Nothobranchius furzeri: one gene and its partners. The protein of the gene in region 3 interacts with the protein of the main gene of each other region in a pairwise test. Links are inferred from orthologs where the notes say so. Each region holds a gene or a part of one and is shown on either strand. Other genes may lie near its edges.

Region 1 (6,056 bases), on a different chromosome or scaffold from region 3:
ACTCATTTTAGCTGCTTGTATCTGCAATCTCGTTTTTTTTTTTTTTTCGGTCACTAGCCAAAGCTCATGACTATAGGTGAGGGTAGAAACGTAGATCGACCGGTAAGTGGAGAGCTTTGCCTTCTGGCTCAGCTCTCTCTTCATCATGACAGATCGGTGCAATGCATGCATCACTGCAGATGCAGCACCAATCTGCCTGTTGATCTTACGCTCCATCTTTCCCTCACTTATGAACAAGACCCAAAGATACTTGAACTCCTCCACTTGGGGCAGGACCTCATCCCTGACCCAGAGAAGGCATTCACCATTTTCTGACTTAAGGCCGTGGTCTCAGATTTAGAGGAGTTGATTCTAATCCCAGCCGCTTCACACTCGGCTGCAAACCGCTCCAGTGAAAGCTGGAGATCACGTTCTGATGAAGCCAACAGGACCACAACATTTGCAAAAAGCAAAGACCCGATCCTTAGACCACCATAACAGATGCCCTCAACACCTTGGCTGTGCTTAGAAACCCTGTCCATAAAAGTTATGAACAGATTACACAGTGGAAAAAATTTGAAATTGGACTAAAAACTTGATTAAACATCACAAGACGCTTTTTAGGCAATAAATGGTTTAAACACTTTAAAATTATGAAATAGATTTGTTTTGTTCATTGTCTACAACAGTTTAACTACAAGGTTCATTGTCAAAAAATAATCCAGTTTGAGTCACCAATGTGAGAATATCTGGGCAGACAGCATCATCTCCTGCTCCCCATGATCAGCACCACGGACAGCGGCGCGCTGCGTTTGGTCTCCCATCCAACCTCCGTCCTGAAGGCAACCAACACAGCTGTTCCTAATCAACTGACAACTGCTGAGGCTTATAAATGCTGAGGCTACCTGATCTGTGCTGATTCCCCTGGTCATGTTGGAACACGGATAGTGAACCAGAGAGCCGTAGTGCTTTGCACATGTGTTTGATGCCATAGCCCTCAGTTAGCTTACTGGTACAGCCTTAGAGCCTCGTTAGTTAGTTCATATAGTGGATTTAACTTTAGTCGACTTCAGTTAGAAGCTTGCTGATTTTCTTCCTCCTGAGTTAATTTTAGTTGTAGTTCGGATTGTTTTATCATTGTCACCTTGTTTAAAACTTTTATCACTTAAGTTTGTTACTAGCACCCAGCTCCCCATGCAAATAAAAACCTACTGTTTACTTCTTGCACGCGTCTCCTTGTGTTACACCCTCCTTCACCTTTTTAAGACCAGATTGTAACAATAAAGTAATGAAGAGCTATTATTTAACTCGTTGTGGCTTTCTTCCTGAGCAGCTTGTACTTGGACAAACTGTTTCAAATGGATCCAACTACAAAGTTTACAACTGCCATGTTACAAGGTTATTTTAGCACAAATATTAAGCAATATCACTGATGATATTATATACAGTAAATAAATGTATAAATCATGTCATACTAAAGTTATAGTGATATTTATAGTGCATTTATTATTTCATTTATTTATTTTACTTATGTTTTATGAGGATGTAAACCGCTTGAGATGTAACATCTCATTTTCGAGCGGGTCCTCAAAGTCAACAACAAAGTAGCTAATAAGACAGCAGAGTCATTAAATAATCCCTAATTCATGATTAATAAAAAACTTTAAAAATCACTCAAAAATGCATTTAGATGAAATTGTGTAACATACTGAAGATTGTAGCGAGCTTATTACAACTAAAAGTAGCACTGATGAGTGAGATGAAGTCTAATTTGAAAATCTGAACTCAGAACTTATGTTTTATGACGCATTTTACAGAAATTGTTGTCTACAACCAAACACCTCAATGTTTCTGGAGGGGGCTGAGTGTTTGTTTCAAGATCATCATCAGATGTGAAGTCAGCCATCTGCTACAGGTGCTGCAGTGATGTTTTTATGAGGTTTTGATCCCTCAACAGTATTTTTTATTTTCTCTGAGAAAATCATCAAACAGACACAGCATAGTGAGGGTCTTCATCCTTCAGTTATCCTCAATCTAGGAAATGTGTTTTTCTGATTATTTAGTTTGTGCACTTCAGATGATCCAGATGCTTTTATTTGTTGACACATTTTGTTTCAAAGGTCAAAACCAGTAAACGGGTTTTTATCTCAGAGCCTACATTCATCAGGATGAAGTTAATGTGCCCTGACTCTGAAAGCGTTGCCTCTGACTGCTGACCTTCAGTGAAATTAAAAGCAGAGCAGGTCGTTCATCATATGTGGTCGAGTCTCATCACTGTGGTTAGAACGTACCACGGCTCATCCAGCTTTAGCTCGGCCGCCTCTGAAACGCGTCATGGCGGGCCAGCACCAGAACCAGCTTCCTCCCTTCGTCTGACTGAAAGGACTGTGACCGGCTTTTGGCTCGGGGACAAGAGACCATGAACATCCTTGCCTTTTGAAAAGCAGCAGAAGCTTTATGGCCCTTGTGAACAGCTCAGTCGATGATGTCAACATCAAATCTGCAACTTTTTGTCACAATTTAATCAGCAGTTGCAGTAATTGGCCTCATGAATCCCTTCACACCTTAACTGAATATTCAAATTTAGCAAAACAGATTTGAGAGCTGAAGAAAACAAGTGAATGAAGCTCCCTGTCATCACCAAGACCAAAAACCAGGAATGAGTTTGTAATTAATGATAATTATTAGGTAGAATGCATTAATCATCAAAGCACGCACATGCACGCACACACACACGAATGCTTGCTTGTTGAGGGCATGAGTGTTGACATAATGTGCACAGTCACTCGCCCCCCCCCCCCCCCCCCCCCCAGTTCTGACAGATGTGTCTGTGAGCTGGGGCAGCTCGAACACCAGCAGCAGCACTAGAACCACCGTGAAGCCCGTAGGCTCGGATCTCTCATGATTGAGCGCTCACCTGCTGCCAGCTGCAACATCTCTCATCGTTCCATCTATCATCCTCCTTTGTTCCAGAGGAATGCAGAAAAATAGAGACTTCACCTCTTCAGCTCATCTGTGTGTGGTGAAACACAACTTTAATCTACCTAAAGCATCCCAAATGTGACTTTAATTCCCGTGAGTTTAAATACATTCCAGCTCGTATCCCTGCAGCTATAAACACTCCTTCTGCTCTTTGACGGGTTTTACAGATTTAGGAGGAAGCTTTTAAAATATCCATCAGGAATATCTCTGTCCAACATGCAGCCTCCCCCTCCCTCCTCTTTTAGCTCCATCACTTTGAATTAGAGTCATATGACAGGCATGGTCGCTCTCCTCCTCAACCCCTACCTTTTCATCATCACCATCAGAAATTCACCTCTCTGCTTCTCCCTCTTATTTTGTCTCATTGGGTCTCCTTCCGCCTCTCTCAGATGTTTTTATTTCACCTGTAGCTGTGTGAGGACTTCTCCTACCCTCTCCTCTGCTGCTCTTGTGTTGTGCTCGTACCCCGAAGCGGACGCAGCTCACCTTTAAATAACAAGCTCCTGGATGACAGGCAGATGGTGTGGTACAGTGCTGCACAGTGAAGCCTCTCATTAGACGGTAATAGGCAGCATCGTTTATAACTAAGCACACAGTGACAGTCAGGGCATGTCAATTAGAGTCTGGATATTTTCAGGCAGGCAGGGATGAGTAAACGTCAGTGTGTGTGTGTGTGTGTGTGTGTGAGATGGCGAAGTGAAGGAGCAGGAAAAGAGAAACTAAGACAGACACGTGTTGCGCCCGTCTGCTGCAGCAGAAATAATGCTTGCGGAAGACAAGACACAAAAAGTAGATCTGAAATCACAAAAAAGTCTCATGATATGATCAAATTATGAAATAAATACACAAATTATTAATTAACGAACACAAACAGTCCAAGCCCCTTATATCTCATAATTAAAGAATGAAATGCTGTCTTACCTCAGTGGTAGAACAAGAATGAAACTCCTCATAAAAAAGGGAGGAAAAAGGGAGGAATTCCAGAGAAGGGAGATGCGGGCAACTAACAGGTGGTGAAGAGAGAAGAAGGGAGTAAAGGGAGATGGAGGGAGAAAGGCAGAATGAGCGCTCGGGGTATCATTAAAAAAACAATTGAGTGGTTAGTTCAAGTTGAGACGGAATGAAGAGCAGAGAGGAGCGCAGGAAACTGGAGGGAAAGGAGGAGGTGGGAGGGAGGGAGACGGGAGGAGGAGAGAAAGAGAGAGAAGGAGGGAGAGAGAGAGTCAGTGGGGACTTATTCCTTAACAGTTGTGAATGTGACTGATTTGCTTCGCTTCCTCCTGCAGCGTCCTTCTACCATCTCACACACACACACACACACACACACACACACACACACACACACACACACACACACACACACACACACACACACACACACACACACACACACACACACACACACACACACACACACACACACACACACACAAGAAGGTGTTTCACCGGCTTTCATGTATCCCTGAACAGGTGAATCCACCATCGACATGACTACAGGTTAAACCCTGAGGTGGCTGAGCAGCACACTGATGTACAATAAACTGATGAAATCCTAAAGGTCTCCTCAGAGGCAGAGATGTTGCTGCTGTCTGATTGCTCAACTATCGTCTGGCTGATTGTTGATTAATTGGTGTCTCAGACAGATGGAGTCATCTGTGAATTTGTGTGAAGAAACTAGTTAATTTAAACATGTTGCTGTTAGTCTGAGTTCAACCAGAGGTTTCATGGAGAAAAACCTAAACCCAAAGGGCTAAATGGTCAACTCCTAAAAATGATTTGTGGTCAATAATTACAGCTTCACCCAGCCATGCCCAGGACCTAAGGGACCAGAGTCAGGTAATTATATTTACAGCAGTGGGCGGTTCCTGACAAAAACAGTCTCCCATTTAAGTTTGACATATCTGAGAACTGGAAGCTTCCACAGTCGGAGGGATTGTGATGACAAATGCAGCTTTGTGTTTTTTCATATAGTTTCTTCCTATATTTTGTTAACTTTGAGATAAATTTAAGATAAACTTCCCAATATAGACAGTAAATTATGTCATTTCATACTGTTGTGTTACACTATCTGACCCCACAGCTTCGACGGTGTCACAAGATTTTTTTCCATCCAGTGTTGCTGTAAAAGATCTTGTGTTGATGATGGGAAAGAACAACCACTGCTCAAAGCCTTCTTCAGCACATCCCATTGCTCCTCTAATACTATACCATATTTAGAGAGAGAGGAGGGCTACTCAGAGTAGTTTCTGCTTGTTAAATAACAATAGACAGCTATAATGTATAAGCTTGACCCTCCAATACTGCAGTCAGAATTGACAAAGCTGATGAGAAGCAAAATGTCTCCAGAAAACCAAAGAAGTCTAGTTTCCTTCATTTGAACCATTTTGGAAAATAAAGCCCATCACTCCAATGGCTCATTTGGCTTGGGCTGGGTGGAGACAGCCCTCCCCTGCATGGCCAGGTTGTGTTTACATGGCCTTCTCAGGAAAGCAGACATGGCTCTGCTAAAGTGTTACGGATAAGTTCGTAGTGTCATTCCTAAGTAAGCGGGTGTGAGCAGTGTCGCTTTTAGACCCTGAAGTGAAGCACACAGCTTCCTACTCTCAGTGTAAATGCAATGTTCTAGTCTTCTTAGATCTCAGGGCTGCTTTTGGCATAGCTGATCAAAATGTTCTTGTAGAAAGGCTTGAACATGTTGTAGGGATCAAAGGAACAGTGCTAGGCTGGTTTAAATCCTACCTGTCTGATATAATTCTTTTGTAAACATACATGACACATCTTCATACACCAGGGTTATTTGTGGAGTACCACAGGGTCCAGTGCTTGGACCAATTCTTATATATATATATATATATATATATATATATATATATATATATATATATATATATATATATATATATATATGTATATGTGCTTTCAATTGGTAAAATCATTAGACCGCATGGGATAAACTTCCACTGTTATGCTGATGATACTCAGTTATATCTATCCATTAACCCTGATGAACCTAATCAGTAGGCAGATTACAGGCCTGTCTTGATATCTTGATAACATAAATAAATGGATGACTCTAAACTTTCTGCTTTTAAATC
Region 2 (6,061 bases), on a different chromosome or scaffold from region 3:
ATCTGAAACAGCATGTCCACATTCCCATCATTGATGAGAGTCTCTCCAGAGTAGGCAAAGTCCAGGAAAGAAGCCACAGCCACTGGACACTGATGCAGAGTTACTGATCCATCACCACACTCTCGCATATCTACCTCAAACATGGCCCTAAGCACAGCAATTACATGAATTAGACTGTATAGACAGACAGACAGACAGACAGGCAGAAAGACAGGTAGGCAGGCTACCTAAAGAAATCACTGCATGCTGCAAGAACACAGCGATGACAGGGGAAACTTTGTTCCTGTACCCTGATGATGAAATCAAACAACAAGCCTCGTTCTCTGAAGGACCTGAGCACACACAGAAGCTGCAGTCCATGGGTCTCTGACACACGAAGCAGTGTCCGTCTCTCTGGGAGCCCGTTGTCCTGTGGTGCACTAACAGTTTGACCTCTGGGAGGGCTGGAGCTGCTGGGGTTGTGGGAGGTAGTCAAACTGGCAAGTGACTCTGGATACTCATCCATATTGCCAAAACCTAAAATAATAATAACAATAACGATTATGATTATGGTTGCACAAAACAAATAAATATGTTTTGTATTTGCAATAAAAAAACCACTAAAAATAAACAATAATCTATTCTAATAACTAAAATAAACAGTGTGTGCACGCTAAGAACAAATTACTTCAGCAGCCCTATCATTTACTCTTGTCTCTATTTTAACCCTAAAACCAATATATGGGTGTTTAGCTCACTTGCGGCTCAAGTTAAATTTGTTACACTTATGTCGTGTTTTCATATCTCAAATATGAGACTGTAATACACTTGAAACTATTCAACAAAGCAATGTGGAACGAGAAGAGATACTCACGGGTTCAGCACCTCGGATAGCTCCTGTCACGTTTCGTTCTAACCTCCGGAAACGTAAAATAACGCGATAACTCGCGCAGCTTTTTGTTTTGGGTTTTTTCTTGTCAGGTCTTTGGCTTCTTACATAATTTAAATTGAAACTTATTTTGTTCAAGCGACAATTATAACACACTTGTCATAGCTACAACGGTCTAGCTGTATGCTAGTGTGCAGCTTGAGGGACGGGAGCGCAAAGGCGCCTGGGAACTGTAGTTCTCTTTTTATGAGAGCGTATGATAAAACCTAAACCATCGACATATATACGGTTGAAACATTAGCCTATAGTGAAGTCCGACCTAGGTCAGCATCCAAGCGATGTCAGACATCTTTTCTTTTGTATTTTTTAGAGAAATGATGCTAAAACCATTCTGCAGACTCAAAATGGGCTAGCTAACTGAAACACCTAGACTTTTTGCACTTTTAACTAATCTATAATAATTGCATAAGTAATTGCACCTGTGTATACGGCAATAATGCATTTTTGGGGATTAGTTGGGACCTCATAAACATAGGCTAAAATAAAGACAGTTTTTACAATATTTTAAGTTTATATAAAACTAAATAAAAATAATTTAAATAAAAGCAAGTGTCCTTGAATAAAACGACTTTATGTGAGGATGAAGGGTCACAGGAGGTCTTAACCATCACTGTTATAAAATTCATAATTTACATTTTCTGGTTTGAACTTTCTCAACGAAAATTATTAGAGTAAATAAAATAATAAATCAGTACTAAGATTATATATAAGTGTAGGTATATATTTAACAAAAATGCCTAAAGAAATCCTAAATTCCCATGCTGGATCTTCCGAGTTCACTATTACCCTTAAATGCATCATAACCATCAAGTGGTGCATGCTGGTGCATTCATGGCCACTTGGTGGTGCTGTTTCACTGTGGAGAAAGCAACGGATAAAGCATGGGACCGAAATGAAGAGTGAATAAAACAGAAGAAAAAAAATCTGTATTGGTGAACATGAACTTCCACATATCCTGCAGTTTAATTTAACCACCACGCGCAGTTTATGACAAAATAACACGATTCTTCTGGTCTGAAATATGAATACATACTGATCTACAGTCAACGTGATCTGAATATGTAATAATAATAATAATAATAAATTAATGTGATTTTTTTAAAAAGGAATCATAAAGTCTTTATCTTGATCATTTTTCATCAGTAAACCAACCTATTCTATAGGAATGATTAAAGGATGGATATATCCGGATGCCATTCCCATAAAACAAAGAACTGCTGTTCAAATTGTAATTGTGAATAATACAAATCTATTTCCTTTCTATTATTAGACACCTTCCACTTTACATGTATCGGTGGGTCATGCCCCCACCTCTGCTTGCATCCCTGCATCCCTCCCTCCTTCTCTCCCTCCCGGCGGCAGTGCATCCCCCATCCCCCACACGGTGGCCGTCTCTCCGGTTGAAAGCTGTCTTCCCAGCCGCCTCTGGCCCGACAAAACGCTGCTGTAGCAGAGCCAGTCCGCACCAAGCCGAAGCTGAGCAGAACCACGGGAGAGTGCACGTACACACCAGGGGGAGTCTTTTTCTGTTCGACCGGGTGGTTTTGGTGAGTCTAACACGCTTTTTATTGCGGACGGAAGGAACGTCCATGTTTCTACTTTTTAAGTTGTTCGGTTTTTTTGTCTGTTTTTTTCCCTTCAATTGTCCTCCGTGAGGAACTAGCGGGCTATGCTATGCTAAGCGGCTAGCTCAATTAGCGGATTCTACAACTTGGCGCATCGGGAGTGTTTTAAGTTATTTACGGTCAGTCGTTAACATCGACCCTGGCTTTTCACGTGCCGCCCGGTCAAACTCAACCATGGTTAGTGTTAATTGTCTTTTCTAATCCGTTTCCCCGGCTAGAATGCTAATTATCGATTTGAGCAGCGTGTACGGATGGACGCAGGGATGCGGCGGTGGGTTAGCGGTTGTCTTTTCAGCCGAGCTTCCAAAGGCTAAGCTAATGGTAGTTTTATATGACACGGGTTCCTGCTAAGGTGTGCTATAACAGCCACTCTAAATTCAGCCAATCTAGTGTTAATTGGCAAGATGGCATCTCGGAGTTGTTATCCAGAAATCGGTGGATTTTCAAAATGGTGTCTTAAGCTTGTTTGAGTGTGACCATTTTTGTCCAACCAGTGCTGTTTTGGCTCCAGTTGCTATCTCTGTTATGCAGCGCATGCCATGCTTCGATATAATATCATGTAAATACTCAGCAACAACAAAGTAAACCGTGTCCTCAAGGCTGCAGACTGCGTTATTAGGCGTAAAGAAGATGTGTTTTGGGTGGGTTTTATTTGTCTCTCTTGGCTTTAATGCTGTCAGGTTCAACAGGAAAGAAGCATGACGCACATCCCAGCACACTGCTTTATCTGGATGTAATTACGTGTTTACAAAATGCATCACTGGATTGTTTTTATATTTTAACTTTTTTAATTGTGAATCCCAAAACTAATAGTCACAGGTAGGACTTGTGTCTTTTGAAAGACGTGATAATCTTACTGTTTATATTGTTAAACTGTAGGGGATGGTGTTTTTTCTCAGTAGTACTTAAAGAGACAATGTGTAGTATTTACCGGTAATCTCTGCAAATATCCATCGAAATGTTGTTGAAAACGAATAAAATGATGCCCAGTTGTAGAAAAACATTGGCAACTTCATAACGTATAACCTTAAAATACATGGAAGTCTTAGTCTCTGGGTGACACCATATTAGATGCCATGTTTCTTTTTATGGGAGCCAGTGAGGACATAATACATTCACTGATATGTAACAGTTACAAAACTTTATTCATTCATTAACATTGTTTTACACATTTACCTCTTCACTCGTTGCCAGTGATGAAAGAAGTCTGGTGTGCCTGTCATTTTGTTGGAGGTTGCACTCCCAGGGATTTTTTACCCCAAATGGCCATCCATTGGTAAGGTCTAAAGCCTCATTCATTCTTCTCCATCTGCGCAGGTGAGGAGACACGTAACGCTATTATGAGTCGGTGCAAGGGCTCGACAGTCTCACAGAGGGTGACAGAGACATGCCCAAATTTTTAAATATCTGTCAAAAGTGACGGAGAATGCTAGCTTGTGATTAGTCAGGACACCGCTTCCTTTAAATGTGTCAACAGCTCCGCCATTGTCCCGTCAAAGGTAAAAAGATATTTAGCGGCAGACACGGAACAGATTGAAGAACTCATCATGGGAAAAAATCCAAAAATATGAACGCGTATTCACCCGTGACTGAAATGTGGAGCAGATGTTTTATTAATGGACAGAAACGATGGGGAACGTGGGTTTAGAGGTGGCGACCACTTGAGATGTGGAGGAGGATGAAGGACAAATTCGCCTGTGTTATAAAGTCTCTGAAGTATAAAAACACATTAGTAAATACACCATCATGGACCGGATATATGAGTGTAATGGTGGCATGATGCCACAGAACAGCGCTATGCCCTCTGTTGTCTTGCGAGGAGTTGCTTTGCAACACTCCCCAGGAGACGAAGTGAGAGAGCAAAACGTCTCTGTCAATGCATGTGTGTCTCCCTTTACAGAGCTGACAGAGAAATATAAACCAGACTTAAAGCTTAATTTATATTCCTCCGTCAGCTCCACGAGGGAGACACATGCACTCACAGAGACGTTTTGCTCTCGGACTTCTCCATCTCCTGGGGAGTGTTGCAAAGCAACTCCTCGCCAGGACAACAGAGGGCACAGCGCTGTTCTGTGGTATCCTGTCATGTATCTGGTCCAACATAGAGCATTTACTATTCTGTTTATATTGTGTTTTTTGTATTTCAGAGACTTTGTAACATGGACAAATTTATCTCTCATCCTCCTCCACCTCTTAATGTGCTCACCACCTCTAAACCCACATTTCCCATCATTTCCGTCCACGGATAAAAGCTAGCTGCGTATCTTTTCACTCCCCCAGTCATGGGTGAATAAAACGTTCATATTTTTAGAATTTTTCCGTGAGGCATTCTTCAAGCTTCTCTGTGTCTGCCACTAAATATTTTTGGTTTTCTTAATGTTTTTTAGGGCGCGATGGCGGCACTGTCAACGACAGTGGCATCCTGACCAATCACAGGCTTGCGTTCTCCGTTTCGTTGGACAAATGTTTAGAAAAGAGAACTCGACTCCGTCCTTGCAAGCCTCCTGGAGAGCCCTCGAAAGGACAGATAATGGCGTTGTGTGCGTCCATCCCGACTCAGACCGGGAAGAATAAATTAGGCTTAAGTCTCTTGATGACGCCATTTTAGATTCTGTTTTCTTCTACCTCTTCGCTTGTTGTCGGTGATGAAAGGGAGTCTGATGTGCTCCTCAATTATTTATTAGAAACACTTTATTTTCATAAAATACAAACAATGTCATCTTCTAGTTAATTTTTATAAAGAAAATAATTTTAGACAAATGAGAGTATATTAAAATCAACAACACATCCTTTCTGGGATCTTCACACTGAAATTTGATATTGGCAGTTATGAACTAGGATAAATATTTTTTATTCTAAAGATGCAGTAAAAAGCGAGTCTAAGCTAAAGCGAATGCATCTCTCTTCAAAGAGTTCAAATGATTACAGGTCCTCGTTGGATTGCGTCATCAGCCTAAGGTGACCTCTGCCTGGTTATACTGTGGGGGGTGTCTCCTGTGTGTGAATAATGGAGTCTACAAGGCAGCTGTAAAACCGTCAGACCATTGAAAGCTGGAGCCATAAAATGTTTCGACAGAAAATGGTTCTCTTACAGACGACAGTCTTTTCAGCACTTCAAATAGCATAACGATTAGCTTGCAACAAACAAGTGAATTAAACAAATGGCAGCTGAAGAGTTCGGCTAACTTCCGGTTTATCTTGTCCAGATCTGTATCATTCGATTAGATATCTTTTATTTATACTGGTAGATCCAGCTAATTAAATTTCTACACTAATGATGTAAGTAAATAAAAGGTGACGATTCATTCAAACTGTGCGTTATTAAATCTCTTAGATCAGGGTTGGGGAACCCTGGTCCATCGAGGGTTGCTATCCAGCATATGTTAGTTTCAACCCTGCGTCATCACACCTGATTTCAATCAGCAGGTGATTAACAGGCTTCTAGAGAGCTGATGAGCTGCAGAACAGGTGAATCAACCACTGAATCAGAAGTGCTGGAGCAAAGACA
Region 3 (6,024 bases):
CCTCAGATCGAGCTGCATGCTAGGAAACAAGATCCAAGACAAAAATCGTCTGAATGCACTCGGATAAATACATGAAGGAAAGTTATTGTGGAGTTTTAAATGCTCCTCGTGTGTACAACTATAAATTATGAGGGATTTTTAGATTCAGAACACGCCCAATTGCTCTTGAGATTGCCACTGAATAATTTAATCTGACCATTTTATGAATTTTCACTTCCCAACATGAAACCTGAGAGTCAGACAAACGTTTGGAATGAGGCGAAACGGCTTCAGAGGACCATGACACGTGAGAAAGAGGATCTACACAAACACATTAAGCAAACATAAAAGTAGTTCTTCCTTTTTATATTTTATACAGCCACTGTAGGTAAAACACCTGCTTTGTGAAAAGCATGAAAAAAGCCACAGACGTCTGTTTCTCACGCCGTAAGTTCATTTGTTTGAAAAAAAATTGAGAATTATTTCACTTCCTTAAAATGTCACAACTGTTAAAAACGTGTGTTACTGTATTAAACCCAAATACTTGGATTGTTTCCACAGCCTTGGTATTTAATTCCAGTTAGCTCGGCTAAAGAATGACATTTTAAATAACACATTTACAGTATTTTAACTATTCTGGCAACAAAAATAGCCCTACATCAGCACATTTACAGCAGGACAAACCCTGTTTAATAGCGTCTTAGTGAGATTCATGCAGCACAAAAAAATACTGATTCATGAGCATGCAGAGGGTTTTAAGTGCACTGGTAAAGACAAATATGCACAATAAAAGAGGAAGGTCTAATAAATGGAAGAGGCAAGGTATAACAAGTTAAACCACGGTGATACAAGGAAGTGATTATTTTAAAATGCTTAAAGGAAGCAGCAACATGTTATCTGCTGTTATAATGACTACAAGTCCAACCCTAATAACACAACTACCTTATGTATTGTACGTATTATGTATTATGGACGTCTTACAACAGGAAATAGGTCAGAGACGCTTTAAAAGACGGACATGTGACACTTTGATCAGCCCGTTTTACTCAGAGCTGACCTGTCATAATGCTGCATCATTTCTCAGAGACCGTTACAAAGACGGCAGCGTTCATCATGATTACTTGGCTCACTTTGTGGACGAGTCATGTCCACTTCTTTTTGTATGCGTGAGGCGGTTCATGATTCACGTTCCCCCAATGTTTAAAAAAACCTCAAACACAATGAGGTCTTTGTAGCTCAAATCAATGATGGATGGCTGATTTCCCTTTTACTTCTGGTTTTATTCTCTCATATCAACATCTGCAAAAGGAGTCTGATAGCAAAACCTGAAAAGTTAAAGAGTTAGGCAGAAAGGGCCAAGATAACAGGAACTACGCATTTCAGTCTGCATTAAGGATTGCTGTAGAGTCTCTGACACTAGTCAGCGACTCGATGCAACCTGCTGGGTTCCTTATATAGGAAACTTTTTCTGATTGGCTGAATGAACTGACCTGTATTGGAATGTTTACTGTGAAGTGCCTTGAGACGACTCTTGTCGTGATTTGGCGCTATATAAATAAACCTGGATTGAATTAACTTAAAACTGCTAAACATCAATTCATGCAAACAATCCTAGACCTTCTATGAAGATGTGTTTCCTTATAGTTACACTTTATATCAAGCTGATATTTTTTTTATACATCGGCCAATATTTGCTCTTAGAAAAGCCAATTTAAAGTCAAACCCATCTGTGTGCTGTTGCACAATTTAGTTTAAATGTAATTTTACGTTCACTAATAACATCTGCGTAGTAAATACTCTAAATGCCTGGCTTTAACACTGAGCGGTGCATAAAGTGAAGATTTGACAGATAGTTAAAGTCAGAGTTCAAAAACGGATTCAGCTTCAGACATTTTGTGCACCAGCTGATGTTATTAGTGACATTTTAGCATGAAAATAAGGTGGAAAACATCTGGATATAGGCCATGAAAGTCTGCACATAAAAATCAGCAGTATATCAGCCACTGGCTGACCATGTCTCCTAAAAATCGACATTGGTATTGGTAATATACCAAACCAAAATCAGTCGACCTCTAGAACAGAATCTTTTCTATTTAGATTGCGAGAAAATCTCGAATTCTCCTAGTTTTTGTTCTAGTTTTGGTTTTCACCAGCTAGCTGCTAAACTTGTGTGTGTTAAAAACACATCCAGAGACATCCTTGAGCTTTGTGCACACCTAAATGAACACCTGAGTTGGTTTGACTTTTCATTTCCAGTTGAATCTCAGCCACAGACTTTATACTTTGTGGTTTTTAAAGCCGGATGAGAGAGCTGAAGTGTGAATTACCAAAGCCTGCATGGTTTAAATGAACTTATATAATAGATACTGCATCATGCTGGAAAAGAATAATATAATCAACATTTTCATCATTACCCTTGTTTAACAAAGGGAGGCTTAAAGTAAAAGCCTCTAACCATGGTGCTGTGAGGTTCCTGCCACAGCAAGAGAATCATTTTAGTTCTCCTTTCATATCTGGAGACAATAATGAGCCCATAGCACACACAAAAGACCTTTATGGTTAAATAGTTAGGCTTAATATTTAACGTGGGATTCATAGACAATGACACAGGGTCGTTGTGAGGACTTTAGGTAGATTCTGAGAAGAGTTAGCAAAATTAAACACATCTGTACATCACTTGTTATATATCTATTCATATTTGGCCACAGATACTGATACTAATTACTACATTTCTTTTGTGAGTTATCCAACGTGTTAGAAAGAAACCACCTTTTTTTACTAACTTTGTTGTCTTGAAAATGAATTGAGATATAGTTTGATTTATTGGATTTAAATGATTACTCTTAATTTACAACATGTTTTTTTTAAAGTAACAATAACACAGATTTAGCCTAAATGTTTAGTACATGCTAAAGAGCGAGGCGTTTAGCTAGAACCCACATGATGAATGGACACAATGTTTGTTTCATATAATTACATAATTCACAGCCTGCTGTCAGGAGCCAATGCTGCTCGTTTCCAGGCAACTTCTTCAATCAAAAATGGATGAAAATATGTACGAGAGGCTAAGCTTTTCAATGAAAAATGAGATTATAGTAGGCCTGTCTCAGTCTACACAAGGTGTAGGTGTTTTCATTGTGGTATAATCTGTACAAATGTTTACTTTATTAAATATTATCAAGCATTATCAGTCATGTTTATCATGTTGCTTACTTTTAAAACTAGAGAATATCAAACCAGCAAACTTTTTAAAAGCCCAAATAATCAAATAGTTGACACATAGGCTACTGTCAGCTTTACTGAGAAGTCCTGGTTAGGAAAATATCTGGCCTCATTTACAGTTTCATCCAAAAAGACCCAACAGAGACAGGAACATGGAGAGAAGCAGCAGAGATGGTCCTGCTGATGCTGGATTCAAAGGAAACTTGTAGACCAGGACACAAAACAAACGATGCTGCTCCTGGATCAGCTGCTGTGTGTGTGTGTGTGTGTGTGTGTGTGTGTGTGTGTGTGTGTGTGTGTGTGTGTGTGTGTGTGTGTGTGTGTGTGTGTGTGTGTGTGTGTGTGTGTGTGTGTGTGTGTGTGTGTGTGTGTGTGTGTGTGTGTGTGTGTGTGTGTGTGTGTACAGTGCACTCACGCCCTAGTCTTGGGGAAGCCCATGGACAGAAGCACGTCCAGCGTAGAGCCATGTTTGATGGTGCTCGGCCGGTTCTGGCGCTGCCTCCGCGGTGTCACTTTGGCATACAGTTCCTCTTTGGCTGCCATAACTCAAAGCCCCATCGGCATGTCAGGTCCACAGCTCCTCTGGTATACTTTCATTTATCAGCAGATTAAAAGAGAGGAGGAAGAGGGAGGAGGACGGAAACGCATATGCTATTTAACCCACAGTGACTTCGTGTTAACGGAAGCGAGTTAATATCACCAGACGCTGCGAGGAAATGAGCATGTTTTGGGTCTGAGGTGGAACGAGCTGCCTCCTGCTGCTGGCGGCTCGAGCATGAAGTCCAACCCGTCAGCAGGGGGCTCAGCCATGGGAAGTCACTTCTGCTCTCTGGGCCATGTCCCCGACAGATGCGAACATATTCCAGCTCCTGCGAGTCCACCGAAGAAAAACCAATCGACAACTTTCTCTCTACACGATGTTTTGTTTTATGAATGGACACTGGGGGAGCTGCCTGCCTGGGATGGAGCTTTTAAACGATTGCGTCCGAGCTGCGCGCGACCCCTTCAATTAAAGGGACAGTACAGTATTTGCGAGCAGACAGTAAATCTTGTTCCGACCATTTTTTACTGCGGAACTATGACTAACACAAGCTCTTCCCGATAAAACACTTGTTATAGTAAGTGCGCGAACAAGTATTAGGATTAGTTTGGGCATTTTGAGGATAAATCCTGTGTAAGGGTTGAATGGTGGAAAATGTTGCTCACACTTCCTGTTTGCGTAATAGGATGTCGATCCTATACGCATGCGCACCTTTCAGGAGGGGAAGTTGCACGCCATCACGTTACCACAGCAACGCAACACTAGCCAATACAGAAAGCTTTTAGCATATTTATTTTCTCATAGCCTACAAAATACCATAAATCATTATTTTGAACTTCAATGTCTTTAAATTGGGTTGTATTTAAAATCAAGACTCAAACTGAAATATGTTTGTGTTAATTCATAATGGTGTTAGCCATGCTAATTTATTTTTCATTTTGTATTTCAATTATAAAAAATGTGTAAATATGTGTAAGACAAGCAGCACACAAACTACAGATTGAATTTTAATGGAGACACAACATGAACTTCTGTACATCAAAATCATGCAGATGATGAAATCAATTATGTGAATTTTGAGATTGACACAAAAGACCTATTTTTATTAATGGAGTATACCCTGTTTACAAAAGAAATGACAAAAGCAGTTTTCAAATATTGTTAGTGTATTTTCACATCAGTTGAAATCATTACAACCAAATTACTTTTAAAAAAATGTGTATAAAAACATTTCTGAGTTTGGAAACTACAACTACCGAGTTCATATAAATGTCTATTCTATCTGATCCCTAAAAAACACACAACCCACGTTTTTGCACAAATATTCATGCTTTTAAATTTGTGAATTTCATTGTCTATTTAAAAAGTAAAAGATTTCATATTGCATTCAACAAGATGTTACGCAAATCAAAAAAGTGACACAATTTGTATGCACAAAATGTAAAAAAATAAAAACATTACAATATCATATAATGTTTTATCAACATCAAAAGCGCTGAGACAACCAAGTCTAATAATTTTCTAAGTGAACGCAGCTTTATTTACAAAAATAACCCTTCAATAGAACTAATTTGTACAATGCATCAGAGAAAAACGAACACCCCAACAGAGCTGAGCCACATCAGTTTAACATTTAAGCTAAACTGCAGTTATAAATATTAAAGTAAGGTTATAACTGCAGATAATGTATTTCTTGGTTGGTGCACAACTACTCGAGAAGGTATTTTAATTAGCAGCATTTGTTATATAGTCCTAGGAGGTTTTGTTCTCTCTTCTTCATAGTAAACAATTACCTTGGATATACAGAATTTAGATTAAACAAAATAATAATAACTCCATAAGTAGAAACGCACTGGGCAGCTGCTTCAGCCCAACACGACAAATGTAAAAAAACAGACTCCCTTATTTCTTATTAAAAGTATTTAATCTGCAGATTATCTGAATCAATTGTCACTCTGAAAGCACATCACTCATATGTATAGAAACAGCACTCAAAAAAACTATAAAAATCACAATAAACAGGGAAGTTCAAGTCTGTAAGCGGACTGTTGATTACACCACAAATGACGACTTCTGTTTGAATTCCCCCTGTGAAACAAAACAAGTCTCAGACATCTTTGACCTTTTCAAACATACACTCCAATTAAAATATTAAAAATACATTAAAATACTCACGTTATCATCATCCCCACCATGTGATGTGGGCTGGTAGACTGCATCCATCCTGTGTTTACTGTGGGGACAAACAAATAAATAATAAGTGTGTGTGTGTGTGTGTGTGT
Region 4 (6,085 bases), on a different chromosome or scaffold from region 3:
TCACAACATCTGGATCCAGGATAAGTCGGCTTTAAAACGGTGATGCTTAAATGATCTTTGGTACAACCAGCTCATTGGTTATACTATCAAATTTATTAGCCTAACTACTCATGTGAATTCCTGTGATGTTCACAAGAACTTAGAAAAGAAAACATGATTCTTTTTCCTCTGAAGGCGGCCATTTTCTGAAGAAACGTGGTTGATACTAAATGATATAGCGACAGGAAATAAAAACGTAGCTCTGAAAATCTGTACAATAAACATTTAGTGATAAAACTCTGGGTATCCGACTGTGAAACAGAAACAGGATGCATAAGAAGCTCAAATGTTACACCAACCACCCTTACCCTCATCTTACTATTTGGATTTACTTTGAACTTCTTTCCTTTAAGTTTACTGAAGTTAATTTGCTTCGATTCAGGGCTATCCCCAGTGCTCTTTGGCACTTGACTATGTTCATCTACAAGTTGCCCGACAAGGTACAGTAAACCACTTAAGATATTGCATTAAATCTATTAAACTTGTTTTCTTTTGCTTTAAATTGAATTTATTTAATTTACAGCTGATTCAAACGGAACGGTCTCTCAGACCGTTCACTGTGCAACAAATTTGATGTGGTTTTCTTTTTGACACTGTGCAAAAGACAAGACAGTTCTAACTAAAAGCATCAAGGATGCCAAATCTTTTGTTTTTTTCTTATAGAGCTGAGATGTGGCGTCTCATGACCATCCTACTGGTATTTACACATTTAACTATTGCACACCGATTAATTCAACTACACTAAATATTTAAAAAAAGACAGGTGGAGAGTTCTTTTTATTTGACTGCAACTTTGCGTTTCACTTTCACCATAAAGCAGCTAAACTAGGTAATGCAGGTCTGGTGTTCTGACTCTGTGGGTTTTACAGGAAGAAGAGGACATCTCAGTGCCATTTGTGGCCATTTGATCAAAGAAGAACGGGTCTCCTGAACAGATGCCTGAAAGAAGTCCAATCTGGAATGATTTAAGAGATTCGGTCAAATGAAAGATTACAGGAAGTATCACAACATTTAAAATCAGCGTTTTGTCCTCTCCAAGCGGCGACGGTCATCTCTAGGTCAGAAGTGGAGTACTGTACCTTTCACAAAGGGCTCTAAAATATTACATTCCATTAGGTGATATCAGTATTGTGGCATGGCCAAGCAGCCTGAAGAGGAAGGCGTATGGAGTAAGGGAGGGTCTGGGGAATCATCTGGGACGGGGGTACGGTTTAGGCATAAACAAGGAGGGGAGTAGCTGCTGTTACCAGATGGTATAACCTCCACTGGATCCGCCCAGGAAGAAGTTGTTCTTGCGCTGTGTCATGACAACATTGGCACCCTGCATGGCAGCCAGCTGAGCTGCATTAGGGGGGTGTCCAGGGGGTGGGGGCTAGAGAAGAGGAGAAACGAGCTCAGTGGCAGGTTAAGAGTTACAAAGGCCTTGGCTACAGGTTAAGTCACTCCGTACTCACTGGGATGGAAACACTGCTGCCAGCTGTGAAACGAGCTCCAGCATCAAAGCCACCGTCCACCATCACTGTTGAACCAGGGGGGTAAACAGCTCCCATGTGATAGTAAGCCATGGGAACGTTCTGGCCCACCGGACCAACGGGCATGTGTGGCTGCATGGGCATGTACACCTGAGCACCAGGGTAGGGAGAGGACATCTGAGGCACCTGACCAGGCACCTGAGGTGGAAGCACGTATCTGGGCTGGTATATCTGCATACAAAGACACGAGAAACAGATTTAATTGAAGAATACTAAAAAAAAAAAAAAAGCTAATCTAGGCTTGACCTGTAGATGCAAGCGTTACCTCAGAATATGCAGGTGGTGTGTCTGAGTATGGAGGTGCCTGAGGAGACATTTGCATAGCAGGAGGGTATACAGGTGCAGAGCTCTGCTGAGGGTACACAGCCTGCTGTGGGTATGAGCCTGCAAAACAACATTTCACTTTTAAACACGCACAGCTGAAGAATTATGGGATGAGAACCGTTTCATTATTACTAGGGATGTAAGAAAATATCGATATGGCAATATATCGTGATATTTTTCGCAGCAATATTATATCGATATTCAAAAGCTGTGTATCAGAAATATCGATATGGCAATATATCGCGATATTTTTCCAGCAATATTATATCGATATTCAAAAGCCGCATATAGGAAATATCGATATGGCAATATATCGTGATATTTTTCCCTGTGATTATTACATTGATATTCAAAAGCCGTGTATCTAATTCTTGAAAGAATGCAAACATGCAAACATTTGTGTATTTTCTTTTCGTTTTGTGCAATTCAATCGCCACCCGCTAGTTGGCAGCAGTGTGCAACGGGTTTTGTTTCCACCATTGAACTGTAAATCCCTCCATCATGGTTCAGATACCTCATGTTAAACATGTTACATATCAGTTTTGACTGTTTATTGAACATGCTTATAATAAATTCAGTAAAAAATAGCTTGTAACGTCTGACTGAATGTATCGCAATATATCAGGATACATCGTATCGTCTCCCCTGTATCGTGATATGTATCGTATCGCCAGAATTACAAAAATACACATCCCTGATTATTACTAATGACTTTGACTACTAACATTAAGCTGCAAGTACTTCTTCTCAATCATCATCATCATCATAAATAAACTGATGCTGCTTCTGAGTGGAGATGGGAGGGAGCTGATTACATTTACAGCTAAATACATGAAATTATTACTGATGTGAACGCAACTACTGAGTGGTACACGTTACAGAAAATCCCAATGTCTTGTATACTGAAGCTAACGTTGGTCTTTTTCGGGTACAACTTTGAACGTTTCTACATTTTACAGACAAAAGAACAAAAACCAGATTTTGACACAAAGTGTCTTTAGGTCCAACATTTGGCGGCAGTAAAAGAAAGAACAATGTTTAAATATTGATGGAAACATGTTATTTAATATCATCAGGGGGGATTTATTTAAGCAACTGAAACTGTTGTGCATAATTATAACAAACTATGTGATGACTGTAGCAAGTCTGTCACTGCCAAGAGAGTTTCTAGTTTTGTTTTGAGTGCATTGTATGGCAAACAATACCAGGAAACTAGACATAATCACTTTTCTCAGCCCAGACAGTATAAGCAAAGGGTAAAAATGTATTACTTGTAAAAACACAAGTGAACGGATTAGAAATTAATAAAATGTAAATGGAAGATTTTATTATAAAGCCGAATCTGATTAACACAACGCACAAAAGCCTGGTGGTTAGTAAACAAATGTGAATTTTACATTTTCTTTGTCTTTCCAACATGACAAATCGACCATCGCGCATTACAGTTTGAATAAAATGTCTGCTTCTATTTTAGCTTTAGTGAAACAATTAATTCAGTAAGAAAAATATCATGAAATGTCATTAGCATTAGCCACGAACAAAGATGTCATGCTACAAAAAGACAATCTAAGCTCAAATAAGACAAACAAAAGAAGAAATAAACAACCTGGTGCATTTTTGCGCCGAACAGGTCTAAAAACATAAATGTAACCGGGATGTTCTTTGTTAACAAGAACTCCCCCCCTCCCCAACAAAAACAGGAAAGCCATGTCAGATTTGCTTTTATAATCACGTTAGCTTGCTGGAACACATCTGACCGGCCCGTTTTGGTCAAATAACAAAATGTGAAACTAAATTCGGACATCCGACGTTAGCAATATCCAAGACAGCTTGGTTCGGAGTGTGCGTCAGTTTATTGTTATGTACGTAGCTTCAGTTGGCCACAACGCGAGCTCCTCGTCTTTCCTTACAACGCCAACGTCAAGTAACGAGTAGCTAGCTGGAAAATGAAACACACGACGGAGAAATACCTTTGTTATTCATTGTTGTGGACTGATTCGGAGGCTGAGGAACATCAGATTAAACGGCGCTTTGTGTATCTTGTCTCGGCCTTATAATAGCTTACGGCTTGACACTTCCTTGTTTCTCAGCTTCTTGTTGTTGTGGAAGTGGTTACGTCACCCGTTCTTTATCTGCGGTCGGACGCACGCTCAGTTTCACCTGCACGCGCGCGCCCCCTTCTGGAGGAAATGAGATTTGTTTTTAAAGGAATATGAAAAGCACAAAAAACCCTAAATATTAGCTAAACGTAAAATGAAATTAATACTTAAGTGCGTACTACAATCAGTGTTGGGCAAGTTACTTCAATACTGTAATGCATTATCTATTACTTGTTACCCTCATTTTAAAGTAATTCATTACATTACAATATTACTGATTTTAAAATGTAAGGCATTAAACTACTTTTGAACTACTTTAAGTTACTTTCAACAATACAACTTCAATATGAATCTGGTAATCTGACGCTCAGTGAGCTCATGACATATATGTGGAAAGTGATGTGGTGTCTGAGCAAGCCCCCACAATGCAAGAGCAAGTCTATGGAAACCCATTGTCCATATATGTATGTCGATGTGTCTGAGCTAGCTAGGGTTGCTGTTAAAAACAGTCAGATATAATAACAGTGCTTTAAAATTATTGTTTATTAAATAAAAGCAACAACAATCTGTACTCTCAGCACGCTGCCATCTTATATTAACTGAGCATGGTGGGGGCTCCAAGCCTATATTTGCCTTGGTCCCCAAATGCCTTGATATGGCCCTGGATGTGGGACTGACTTCTGGGGTGATCTGATTCTATCACATGTATAAATATTAAATGCTTATATATTATTGCTTTTCACTGGTAAAAATGTGTATTGGGGATAAATCTACCTACTTTTTTCTTTTGAAGCACTTTGTTTTGTTTTCTTGATTTTATTTGAATAATTTCCTGCCCTTTTTCTCTCTAACCTTCCTGCATGCTGCATGTTTTCTCCGTCTTCCAGAAAAACTGTTCCCTAAATTTCTTACTTTCTAACTAATCAGCCAAAGGGATCTACCAAACCCACAAAAAAATAAAATAAACATTTTTTTAAAAAAAGCTTAATATTCGTTGCGCTCCAGCAGCAATAAGTTGAAATCACCGGGGCACAGATTATGAAGTCAGCTGAAAAGTACATGAAGTACCAGAGAATATGGACTGATATAAACGATCGCACACGAATTACTTTGTTTTGGTCAGAGGCGTGTCCAGGGAGTGGCCTGGGGTAGCACATGCCACCCTTGGAATCTGATTGGCCACCCCAGGTGCCATCACACTAATTTACCTTTAAATAGGCTTTTCATTGTCCACAAAAGGCTTGGGGGTAAAACAAAAAAAGCATAACCATTGGTGCCACCCATGCACAAAGTTGTCCCTCAACTGGGCCACCCCATTTTAAAAGATATGGACACGCCACTGGTTTTGGTGGAGCGATTTTGTGAATATAACAGCGGCCGCGCGCAGGACGCAGCTGGAGTATTTGAGCCATTACCGCTGCGTCCTCTCTGCTCATAGAACGCCCGCAAAGCTGAGTCCATAAATGACGTCATATATGTAGATACTGGATCTTTTTTCAGGCTTCCCGCAATTTGAACTGATTCTGGGTTTAAAAAAGCATTGTAATTACCGCGTTACTGACAATTGTACCGAGTAAATGTTTTTCTTTCCCTGTAATGCCTTACTTTAACACATTACAGCAAAAAGCAATGCATTACAGTAATTAATTACTTTTGTACCACGTTACTCCCAACACTGACTACAATATTACGATATAGTTTTTTAATACTTGTTACTGCATGTTCATTGTTTTCAGTAGATTTTGCCTACAGCCTCATGTGGGGGTGGATGATGGTCTGCTGCTGCGAAATGCTCACTCTCAGCTGGACGTGTGAGATTCACTGTATTTTTTTATATTTCCTGTGCTATCAGTGCAACGCAGACGTGTTTGCTGAGTGAGAAACTGCTCATGGGATCAGTTCATCAACATAACAAGTTGCTGATTATCTGACGAGTCTCAGTGTGTTTAACTGAGGAGAGCTCTGATGTGGTGATCTCTGCAGTGGATGTGGATCCTGTCTTCACCTCTGTTCACCGATCTCTGGCTCTCTTTACATCTGAGAATGTTCCCAGCAGCAGGAGTTCTGGGATGATCAAGAAATATATGCCAT

What was found.
Region 1: the proteins of ubash3ba (region 3) and double C2-like domain-containing protein alpha interact in binary tests that used the Homo sapiens proteins (3 or more experiments, as listed by UniProt). The link is inferred for Nothobranchius furzeri from reciprocal best matches to the Homo sapiens genes UBASH3B and DOC2A.
Region 2: the proteins of ubash3ba (region 3) and fam168a interact in binary tests that used the Homo sapiens proteins (3 or more experiments, as listed by UniProt). The two-hybrid records come from large-scale screens. The link is inferred for Nothobranchius furzeri from reciprocal best matches to the Homo sapiens genes UBASH3B and FAM168A.
Region 4: the proteins of ubash3ba (region 3) and dazap2 interact in binary tests that used the Homo sapiens proteins (3 or more experiments, as listed by UniProt). The two-hybrid records come from large-scale screens. The link is inferred for Nothobranchius furzeri from reciprocal best matches to the Homo sapiens genes UBASH3B and DAZAP2.

Annotation. Positions count from the first base shown.
Region 1 is NC_091756.1:34,725,274-34,731,329, forward strand, and holds the start of double C2-like domain-containing protein alpha, read right to left. Parts: upstream 3,819-6,056; 5' UTR 2,938-3,818; coding exon 2,897-2,937; intron 1-2,896. UniProt on the Homo sapiens protein: Calcium sensor which most probably regulates fusion of vesicles with membranes. Binds calcium and phospholipids. May be involved in calcium dependent neurotransmitter release through the interaction with UNC13A.
Region 2 is NC_091753.1:35,546,100-35,552,160, forward strand, and holds the start of fam168a (protein FAM168A), read left to right. Parts: upstream 1-2,281; 5' UTR 2,282-2,475; intron 2,476-2,609; exon of another isoform or gene 2,610-2,730; intron 2,731-6,061. Other genes in the region: kbtbd3 (kelch repeat and BTB domain-containing protein 3), read right to left, coding at 1-147, 228-505.
Region 3 is NC_091750.1:47,702,450-47,708,473, forward strand, and holds the start of ubash3ba (ubiquitin-associated and SH3 domain-containing protein B), read right to left. Parts: upstream 3,948-6,024; 5' UTR 3,745-3,947; coding exon 3,617-3,744; intron 1-3,616. Other genes in the region: f11r.1 (F11 receptor, tandem duplicate 1), read right to left, coding at 5,795-5,830, 5,918-5,975. UniProt on the Homo sapiens protein: Interferes with CBL-mediated down-regulation and degradation of receptor-type tyrosine kinases. Promotes accumulation of activated target receptors, such as T-cell receptors and EGFR, on the cell surface.
Region 4 is NC_091755.1:37,292,800-37,298,884, forward strand, and holds the start of dazap2 (DAZ-associated protein 2), read right to left. Parts: upstream 4,030-6,085; 5' UTR 3,879-4,029; coding exon 3,866-3,878; intron 1,956-3,865; coding exon 1,837-1,955; intron 1,743-1,836; coding exon 1,494-1,742; intron 1,412-1,493; coding exon 1,283-1,411; 3' UTR 1-1,282. UniProt on the Homo sapiens protein: In unstressed cells, promotes SIAH1-mediated polyubiquitination and degradation of the serine/threonine-protein kinase HIPK2, probably by acting as a loading factor that potentiates complex formation between HIPK2 and ubiquitin ligase SIAH1.